Canis lupus familiaris: one gene and its partners. The protein of the gene in region 1 interacts with the protein of each later gene in a pairwise test. Links are inferred from orthologs where the notes say so. Each region holds a gene or a part of one and is shown on either strand. Other genes may lie near its edges.

What was found.
Region 2: the proteins of CEP76 (region 1) and CABP5 interact in binary tests that used the Homo sapiens proteins (3 or more experiments, as listed by UniProt). The link is inferred for Canis lupus familiaris from reciprocal best matches to the Homo sapiens genes CEP76 and CABP5.
Region 3: the proteins of CEP76 (region 1) and THRA interact in binary tests that used the Homo sapiens proteins (3 or more experiments, as listed by UniProt). The two-hybrid records come from large-scale screens. The link is inferred for Canis lupus familiaris from reciprocal best matches to the Homo sapiens genes CEP76 and THRA.

What each region holds. Positions count from the first base shown.
Region 1 is NC_049228.1:78,159,687-78,163,203, forward strand, and holds part of CEP76 (centrosomal protein of 76 kDa), read right to left. Parts: intron 2,891-3,517; coding exon 2,752-2,890; 3' UTR 2,739-2,751; exon of another isoform or gene 2,437-2,738; intron 1-2,436. UniProt on the Homo sapiens protein: Centrosomal protein involved in regulation of centriole duplication. Required to limit centriole duplication to once per cell cycle by preventing centriole reduplication.
Region 2 is NC_049222.1:108,853,886-108,857,402, forward strand, and holds part of CABP5 (calcium-binding protein 5), read left to right. Parts: 5' UTR 1-209; coding exon 210-272; intron 273-1,759; coding exon 1,760-1,790; intron 1,791-2,338; coding exon 2,339-2,482; intron 2,483-3,336; coding exon 3,337-3,446; intron 3,447-3,517. UniProt on the Homo sapiens protein: Inhibits calcium-dependent inactivation of L-type calcium channel and shifts voltage dependence of activation to more depolarized membrane potentials. Involved in the transmission of light signals.
Region 3 is NC_049230.1:22,426,274-22,429,790, reverse strand, and holds part of THRA (thyroid hormone receptor alpha), read left to right. Parts: intron 1-16; coding exon 17-84; intron 85-687; coding exon 688-788; intron 789-2,925; coding exon 2,926-3,073; intron 3,074-3,517.

The DNA of each region.
Region 1 (3,517 bases):
GGTCAGTTATATAGCACAGAATACTACTTTAATAGCAAGTTTTTCAAATATAAAGCCTACTTTTCATTTGGTTCAAATCTTGTCTTTTTTCCACTTTTTAAAATTTTTTATTTATTTATGATAGTCACACACACAGACAGAGAGAGAGAGAGAGGCAGAGACACATGCAGAGGGAGAAGCAGGCTCCATGCACCGGGAGCCCGACGTGGGATTCGATCCCAGGTCTCCAGGATCACGCCCTGGGCCAAAGGCAGGCGCCAAACCGCTGTGCCACCCAGGGATCCCCCAAATCTTGTCTTTGTTAAGAAGTAGAAAAGTGGGTTTCAAATATGTATTTTCCAGAACTGCTAGGTTTCAGGTGTTTTTGCAGATCATATCAAAAAATGTACACCTCAATAGTAGAAAAAAGTTCCAAGGCATTTGGAGTGTTCACTTAGTTGGAACTAAATTTAGTAAGTTTTATTCAACAGGCTCATGCTTGAGTAATGAAGTTTCTAGGTTTCTGATAATCTTCTACTAAATAAATACACCTATATATTATATACACACACATATAAATGTATAGAGGACTGTATTAGTGTACATATTGTCAAAAAGAATAAAGACATATAAAAATTATTTTACATTTTTAATAGGAAAACAACTTTTATGACAGCTAAACAGACAATGCAAATTCAATTTTTAAAAAGAAACATTAGTAATAAGAATTCTAATGATAAAATCACTAAAAGAATCTTTTGAAATAAACCACCTTTACAGAAAATTATTCATGTTGGAGTCTATTAAAGTGCATAAATAGAAAATTTATTTTAGAATTTATACCAAAGATGCATTATGAATATACATGTGTTTTTCTGGTCCACCCAGCCTCAAAGATAACATAGCCTTAATCTTAACATGTCTGCCTTTAGTGCCCCATAAATAATTTGTTCCAAAAGCTGAAAATTATAAGCAATTTTCCCTATTGATACCTTATGAATAATTCTGGTAACAAAGTAAAAAAGTCTCAATTCTTATTTTGCTAATTCTCTAAAGGTATGTCAGTCTCACAAGAATATCTGATTACTGTTTTCAATGAAAATTGAAAGTAGAGGGATATTTTCAGATTTTTAAAAATAAGTTAAATCATAAATATTCATCATATGTAAAAATAAACAAAAGGTAAATTTTAGGGTATCTCTAGATTTTCATTTTTAAAAAAACATTAAATCATTTTATTTACAATTAAGTGATGAAAAGAGTAATTTGCATAGCCAACTGGTACACACTGTTGGCTTTTTTTGTTTTTTTTTAAGTTGGTTCCATGCCCAGCGTGGAGCTCAATGTGGGGATCAGACTCACAACTCTGAGATCAAGGAGATTAAGAGTCAGACACTTAACCAACTGAGCCATCCAAGTGCCCCTCTTTTTAGAGAAAGTGCTGCTTTTTTTTTTTTTTAAGATTTTATTTACTTATTCATGAGAGACACAGAGAGAGAGAGAGAGAGAGAGAGAGAGAGGCAGAGGGAGAAGCAGGCTCCATGCAGGGAGCCCAATGTGGGACTCTATCCTGGGACCCCCGGGGTCAGGCCCTGAGCCCAAGGCAGACATTCAACCACTGAACCACCCAGGCATCCCCCCACAGTGCTTTCTTAAAAAGACCAATAGATGAAGCAACTGAATCAAGATCTATGCACAGATGCTAAATGGGCAATCCAATCTATCAATTATGTCATGCAGCTTCTTACAAAAAGTCAAACTACTACTGCTTTTTTGATGCTCAGTTTTAAAACTAACTTCTAAAACTTGCTCAGTTTTAAAGCAAGTATCAGCATGGAGTCTCTCACATATGCTCATTTTTCAGGGGCCTCACATAATGATTCTCCAATTTAGAGTAATTGCATATACTCTGGTGTTTTTATCACAATGAAAAAAAAAAAAAGGAAAAAAGAAAAACAAATGTGATTTCATAAGATGGAATCCATAAAGAGGCCAGTAATGAATCCTCTGACTACCAAGAATCAGCAACAGACTGCCAATAATAATTACAGAAAACAGTATATCAGTGTCGTAACAAAAGGGTATGGTGAGCTTCTTCTAAAATACTCAGTTCATTTTTATATAATGAATCAAACTAATGTATTTATAAATTATTCATTTATCTTTATGTGAGATTTGTTTTATTAATATTTATGCTTTTCTGGTATCAGTTTTTCCTACTCTTGCATCAGAATCTTCCCATAAATCCCTGGAAAGTCACAAATATCCCTATGGCCAATGGGTAAGCCACAAAAGTGATAGTTCATCAAAATGTATTTTCACCTATTTAACAAATCTGTTGTGAGGTTAATTTCTAATTTATATAAAATAATCCCATTAATCATTAATCTATGAAAAATAATGATCATATTGATTTTTTTATGGCTCAAACCCTTAGACAAATAAACCTCTCTCTGATTACCTGTTAATGTAAAGAAAACTGAGTAAATTTTATTTTATTCATAAACTACTGAATACCTGTAAACAATGTACCATTTATTAAAATAGACACTTAATTTATACTAAATTCCACTCAGACTTTACAAGTTTTTTATCCTTAATTTTTAAATACACACATGATTTTTTTCAAACTATTATCAGGTATATACAAAAGTGAAATATGACATCCAAGCCAAAATGTGATTTTTAAAATAATGAACCTCTAAACAGCTATAATGTACAATGTGTAAAATTCCAATAAAACACAGGTAGATTCTTACAGAAATGTTAGTCCTATAATACCGAGCGATATTTACAAGCAAACATGATCCAAACAGCACATGCAGATTCGGGGTAAGTAAACACTCGGACACGAACTGCCAGTCGCACCTGGTCTCCACGGCAACAGATTATTTCTTCACAGAAAGGAGACCTACAAAAGAAAACTTATTTAATTAAGAAGTGAACACAGATTTTACTTTATCTCCAAATAAGTCCATTCCATATTTAAAATAATTTTTAAAAATCTAGTCTCTGCAGAACATGAGAGACTCCTTACTCTGGGAAACAAACAAGGGGTGGTAGAAAGGGAGGTGGGCAGGGGGTGGGGGGACTGGGTGATGGGCACTGAGGGGGGCACTTGATGGGATGAACACTGGGTGTTATTCTATATGTTGGCAAATTGAACACCAATTAAAAAAAAAAACAAAAACACACACACACACAAATCTAGTCTCTGTTACCAATAGCCCTATGATTTTGGTTTAGCTATTGAAATTACACAATATTTTCTCAGTCTATAAATTTAAAAAATTACACTAGATAAGATTAGAAATCCTCAGCTGAGATTGCACCAAAACCAACGGGAAAATTATTCCAACTACCTAGAGCCACATTTCAGACCTAATGAATCACAATCTGTGGCAAGGAAAATAAATCATTATAAAAGTTCACGTGATTCTAAAGTCATTCCTAAACGACCAGACTAACAGACTGCTAAAAGTCTAGGTTAATAGGGACACCTGGGTTGCTCAGTAGGGTGTGCGTCTCTCAACTTCAG
Region 2 (3,517 bases), on another chromosome or scaffold:
GACAGCTCTGATCCCTCCCCAACCCCAGGAGAGATTTCTGATCCAGCTGTCACAGCTCTCGGACACTGGGACCGAGGGAGAAGCCAAGAGAGGCAGCAAGACTTGGCAAAGGAGCACCAGAGAAGATAAGGAGGCTGCACGCCAAGGGGGACAGGAAGGAGGGGAAGCCTACTTGAGCCTGCTGCCTGGTGCCCCTGCCCTGCCCCTCCATGCAGTTTCCCATGGGCCCCGCCTGCATCTTCCTGAGGAAAGGCATCGCTGAGAAACAGCGGGTGAGGTGGCAGACAGTGGGAAAGGGTACGGACAGGGCAAAGGGGGCCAGGGTGTGGGGAGGGAAGGGGCATGACAGGTGCAAGGGGCCGGGATAAGGGGCACAGCCTCAGGGGGACTCCTGACCAAGAAGGTAGAACTCTGGGAGCTCAGTGGGCCAGTGAGGTGAGTGAAGGTAAACTCCGGACTCAGCAGCAAAAGGGAGAAGGGGAGGAGACCTGCAAATAAAAGGGGAACTGGGATGTCCCTGTCCATCACCTCTCATTTCTCTGGACACCTGTAACCATGACGGTGATGACACAACTGCCTCTTACTGAGGCACTGCTATGCACCCAGCCCTACGCAAAGGGCTTTGCTTTCCTGCTGTCATTTCATCCTCAGGACCACATTCACGGTTGGCCACACTTGCGTTCCCATTTTACAGATGTGGAAATGGAGGCTCTGAGTCACAAAGCCCCTTGCCTTCTATAGTTACTGAGTGGCAGGGTCCCATCAAGTCTATTTGATCCAGGGGGCTTACTTTTCATTGTTGGGCTTTAGGATGAGAGAGAGAGAGAGAGAGAGATGGGCCTGAGGGGGGAGGGCATCATGAGAAAGAGAAGCTCAGGGGAAGGCTCCAGGAACAAGGGGGAGGCCAGAGGCTGGTGGAGTCCACAGGTGGTGTGCCTTATACCCAGCCTGACCCTTCAGGTGTGTCTGAGAGCAGTGGTGGCATCAGGGATTGGAAATGCTTAGCTGGTTGAAGAATTGGTCATGCTGGCAGTGAGCATCCTGCCCAGATGCCACCGAACACTGGCTCCCACGCAAACAGCTTCTAACCCTTGGGAGAAAAAATGGGGGGCGGTGGGAAAGGAATCAAGCGGGTGTAGTGGAAAGAATTTTGGCTCAGAATTCAAATCTCAGCCCTCGCTGCACCTGGCCTGCTGCATGACCTCCAGGGAGTGATTTAATGTCTCCCTGCCTTGGGAGCGTCTCTGCCACTTAGAGCTGTGTCCCTTAACCTTAACCTCTCTGTTCCTCAGCTTCCTCTTAAGATGGGAATGCTATGTGGTCCTACCCCCTGGGGTGGATCTGAGGTTTCAGTGAAGTGACTGTGGGCACCGGGCACAGGGTTGGCACTCTGAGCGCATTAGCTGTGATTCTGAGCCTTACTCTCTTGTTCTGAAGAAAGGAGGGGATGGGATGCCAAGACATAGAAGACCCCTTGCTAGCACAATGGGATGGATGTCTCTTCAGGAAAGGCAGAGGGACAGAGATCAAGATCCCGGGATAGGAGAGAGGAAATGGGAAGTGATGAGGAAGAGGGCGGGAAGCACACAGTCAGGGGTGGGAATCAGGAGACGAGAAGGAAGAGGAGGGGAGTTAGAGGAGAACTGGGAACAAGGAGGGGTCGGGGAGGGGTTGTCCAGAGGAGGGAGGGATGTGTTTGGAGAAGTAGATATGGGATCCCTGACCCTCTCAAATTCCCTCTCTCTACATTCCTTTCCAGGAAAGACCCCTGGGACAAGATGAGATCGAAGGTAACCCCTGCCCCAAATGCCACCTCATTGTCATCCGCCACTAGGCTGCTCTCCTGTGCATCTCAGTGTAGACCCTTCCCACGAAAGCTTCACACACCTCTCTCTTCCCATTCAGCCATGATTTTGTAGAACTCTCTCACACAGTCGCTTGGGAGCCTCCCAAAGTGTTCAGAAGGCACACCACACCCATCCCCAAGCGTCTCAGAGACCCAGGAGTGACAGATGCAAGAGTTTTAAGATGAATCCAAGACTGTTGTTTTTTCTTTTGGAGGTTTTGAAGGTCCCTATAACGTCACCCCAGAATCTGGAGGACCGCAGTGCCATCACTCTGCGGTCTCACGGATCATTCCTCTTGCACATTTCAATCTTGCTCATTGCACTCTCTGTCCATGTTTCATACATCACTCCTTTTTTTAAATTTTGGTTTTCAAAGATATCTTCTCCTTTGGAGTCTCTAGTCAGTACCTCCCTGATGGTTTCAAGGGATGGCCAGTCTTCCCCATTGACTGTTTCGAGTCCCCTCAAGGTTCTTCTCTCTTAACTTTCAGAGCTCCGGGAAGCATTTCTTGAGTTTGACAAGGACAGAGATGGGTTCATCTCCTGTAAGGATTTAGGGAATCTCATGAGGACGATGGGTTACATGCCCACGGAGATGGAGTTGACTGAACTGGGCCAGCAAATCCGCATGAACTGTGAGGCTGGGCCGGGGAGGACTGCTGGGAGTGGGTGGGGTGGAAGCAGGAGGGATGTGGAGGCTGAGCCACAGCGAAGGAAGAGGGTAGGCGGCACTAGGAGTCTGGAAGCAAACAGTTCAGCCTGGATTCGGGGAGGCAGCGTCTGAAGTGGATAAAAGGGTGACTCTTGGAGGCAGATCTGGGTCCAAGTCCCACTTCTATCATGTACTGATTGTGGTGCTTTTGAAAAGTGGAGTCAACTTCCACTCCTGAGTCTCATTTTTCCCATCTGTCACTCCTTGTGGGATTGGGATGAAGGAGCTGATGCAGGTCAAGGCTTAGCCTCCAGTAAACGGTTATCAATGTAGGTTAGTACCATGACCACTGAGACGCAAAGGTAGAGGGCAAGCTTGGAACCGTATCTGCCTCTGGAAACAAACTTGGGATGGGTTCCAGAGCTCATTTTGAGAAGGAAGCTGGGACCAAATTACTCTGGGGTTTTGCTCTAAGGCGTGCCACAGAGTAAACAAGGTTGAACCCAAAGACAGGATTGTGTTTCTATCTGGAAGAGGTTTGGCTCCCACTCAATTCATGCTCCCCCTTCTACAGACCAACAGATGAGCAGAGATCTGAACCAATTAAGAGATTTTTCCCAAGGTCACAGGGACAGCTGGTTTCTTTCACCCCATGCATCCGTCCACCCGGGTTCGGATTAGAGGGACCCTGGGCTCCGGGTTGGCTGAGAGGGAAATTTCTCAGATGGCAGAGAGATCAGAGCAGGTCTGCCTCTTAAACCAATCTGGAAGGGTCCAGAGAGGTAGTGAAGGGTTGGTTACATGGACTCTCACTAAACCTGCCTCTTCTGTCCTCAGTGGGTGGCCGTGTAGACTTCGAGGACTTTGTAGAGCTGATGACCCCCAAACTCCTTGAGGAAACAGCGGGGATGATCGGTGTCCAGGAGATGAGAGACGCCTTCAAGGAAGTGAGTTAAGATTTTCATGGTGTTGGGGGTACTTGAAAGAAACACCAGGAGTCTATGATTGGTCTTCCAAC
Region 3 (3,517 bases), on another chromosome or scaffold:
CTTTGCCCCCATCCAGTGCCAGGTCACCAGATGGAAAGCGAAAAAGAAAGAACGGCCAATGTTCCCTGAAAACCAGCATGTCAGGTGAGCCAGGCTGTGTGTGCCTTTCCTCCCCACCCACAACCCCACTAAACCAGGCCAGGGCTCTTTCGGGGCCTGAGCATGGACCAGCAGCTCCTGTGTCCCTTGGGGAGAGCTTCCTAGAGGGCTTGGGACCGACTTGTCTGAAGGTTAGAGGGGTGAAGAGGGCATGCCCCGGCCTTTGAGGATGGATTAGGTCAAGAAGGGCCTCTTCCCTTCTCCGGCAACCCCCTTGCCTGAGCCCTACCCCCCTGCACCCTGGAATCAGAGTCTGGGCTAAGGAGCCAAGGGACTATATTTTCCAGAGATTAGCTGCTGACATGTGCTTCTCCTGCATTCCCCCTCCCTGCCCCTCAGATGCAGCAAGAGAAAATCCCCAACTGGGCAGTCGGAAGAACTGGGATTCTCCATATTCTTAGGGAAGGGGATGGACAAGATGACCTCTGACGTGTCTCCAGGATTCTACCTGGACACAAAACCCTTCAAGGAGGCTGGGCTAGGGGATGGGCCAGGAAGGAAAAAGTTGGGGGAAGAAGAAAGTGTAGGAGCCTCTCTGCTGGGGGCCCAAGCCATGCCTGCCTGCCTGCCTCCCTTCCTCCCTCCCAGGGTATATCCCTAGTTACCTGGACAAAGACGAGCAGTGTGTCGTGTGTGGGGACAAGGCAACCGGTTATCACTACCGCTGCATCACTTGTGAGGGCTGCAAGGTATGGACCAGCCAGCTCCTGCCCCTCCCCTGCCACCTGAGCCCCCATCTCACCCACCTTAAGGCCCTCAGCACCTGGCAAGGCCAGCCCTATGAACATGTCACCTAAAGCCCACCTGTTGCTCCACCATTGCTCTCTCTCATTCATTTGTTCATGCACAATCTCTGCTCTGCCACTCATATGTAAGATGCCTAATTTCTCTGGGCCTCAATTTCTTCATCTATAAAATGAGCATAACCGTCCTACCTACTACTTCAGAGAGCTGTTGGGAGAATTAAATGAGCTAAGTCATGGAGAGTATTTAATAACAGTGCCAAGCACATAAGAAGTGCTCAATAAAAATCCCAGCTATTGTCCATCCATTTGGTGTATCAGCTATGAGGGATGTAATATGTGCCCTGCCCTTGGGCTGCTCATGGCCTACCCAAGAGAGGTACACTAGAAACAAACATCATTTTTCAAAATGTGGTTCATGGGTTCAGTGCAGAGCCCCAGGTCCCATTCCAGCCCCACTCAGTCAGACCTCTTTGTGGTGAAGCCTCGTGGACTCTGCCTTGAAACTGGTTCCCTGGTTGCTTCCCCTGCATCTAGAAGGTTGAGAACCAGTGTTGGGGGTCGGGGCATGGTGGGGCCCAGAGTGGGAGAAGATGACAGAGTGTCCCTGGGCAGACGGGACAAGGTCATAGACTTGGGGAGCCTTAATTAGATCTCACTTTGCTCATTTTAACCTGCTAGGGTTTTCCAGGATCATCACCTCGTGAAAATGTAAGACCTTCCAAGAAACAAAAGTATTTAAAAATATGTTAAGGCTTCCAGTTTCTCTCTTTCTTAGTATCAACCAAGCCAAGAGCACCCGGGGTTTAGCATCCTGTAGCATTGTTCATGGAAGCAATACAAATAGCGTAACATAGAGCAAGGATCCTCACCCTCAAGGACAGCAAAGTCCTAGAGGAGCATCCCAGAAAGACAGAAATGCCTTGGCCCTACCCCAAGAGAGTCTGATGTAAGTCTAGAGTGAGACCCAGGAATTGGTATTTTTTCATAAGTGCATTAGATGATTTCAATGCACTGCAGAATCTGTGAACTCGGACCTTGTGTCCCATACGTCAGGTCCAGTTCTGGCTCTCCTGCCCATCTAGCCAGTATTACTTTGGGCAGATTGCTTACTCTCTCCAAACTTCAGATTCCTAGTCTCAAAATGGGTTCCTACCTCATGGGGTTGACACAGCATCAAATATGATGATGCACCAAAAAACAAAGCAAAACAAAACAAAAAACCCCACAAATGCTTTAAAAAATAAACAAAAAAATGCTTTTAAGTGCCTCATAGCATTCAGCACATGTTAATTCTTGGTATTATTACTGCCATCTTGATTCTTGAGGTTTTTCCTTTATTTTTTTTAAATTTTATTTATTCATGAAAGACACACACAGAGAGAGAGAGAGAGAGAGAGAGAGAGAGAGGCAGAGACACAGGCAGAGGGAGAAGCAGGCTCCATGCAGGACGCCCGACATGGGACTTGATCCCAGGTGTCCAGGATCACACCCTGGGCTGAAGGCGGCACTAAACCACTGAACCACCCGAGCTGCCCAGGTTTTTCCTTTAAAGCAAAGATGAAACCCTATATATAGAATTAAACATTTTCTTTTAAAGCTGGTAGGGTCCACATACACAGTGCATTTTCTTGATTTTTTTTTTTTTTTACCCCCTGCCCCATTTCAAGAATTCCACCTGCATGAGCAGCAGGCACCATGTATAGGAACGGTTTGGGGAGGTCAGTTTTATTTTCAGAGTTGGTTAGCAAGATGGAAAATGAGATATCAGTTGGACTTCCAAAGCTGCTCTTCCTTCAGGCGTCATAGCACCTGACACCATCCCAGGCTCATGTCTCTGTACTGTGGTCCTCATCCCTACCCCTGCCACCACCACTACCCACTTGCCCCTGCCCCTCAGCAGCCTAGGAGCTGAGGGCACATGTTTCTATGGTCCTTTGACCCAGCCAAGTGATCTTGGGCTTGCTGGTGTCAGGAGGATGCCAGGCTCCCTCACTAATCCCCCCACACCCCAGTGGACTGCATGGTTGGTTAGGGAAGGGGAAATCACGATCACTCCATGCTTCATCTCCCTCCACCCCAGGGCTTCTTTCGCCGCACAATCCAGAAGAACCTCCATCCCACCTACTCCTGCAAATATGACAGCTGCTGTGTCATCGACAAGATCACCCGCAACCAGTGCCAGCTCTGTCGCTTCAAGAAGTGCATCGCCGTGGGCATGGCCATGGACTGTAAGGGGTTGCAGGGGGCAGAGTTGAGCCAGATGGCTGCGGGTGGGGGTGATTTCAGGTATGACTGCTTCCTGCCAGGGAATCCTCAGGACACTCAAGGCAGAGTGACAGTCCACCTCAGGCTGATAGTGGAATGAATGTTCGGGATCTTGGTCCCTGCTGCCCTGAGGAAAAGGAAACAGGATCTCTCTTTGAGCCCTACATGTGGGCCCCAGTGCCTACCTGCCTTTCAGCACTCCAGGGCTTTAGAGAGAGTTGTCAGGTAGAAAGGAGTCCTGAGCATCCCACCCTAGCACAGGGTTCTTGACTATAAGAGAAGGTACCCCACTTCTGGGTGAGAGAGGGCATCTTGCATCGCATCGGCTAGAGATCAAATAGCAGGGTCTTCTAGTAACCACTTATTGGAACCCTTTAGACCAGGATATGCGAGTCACCTGGATCAGC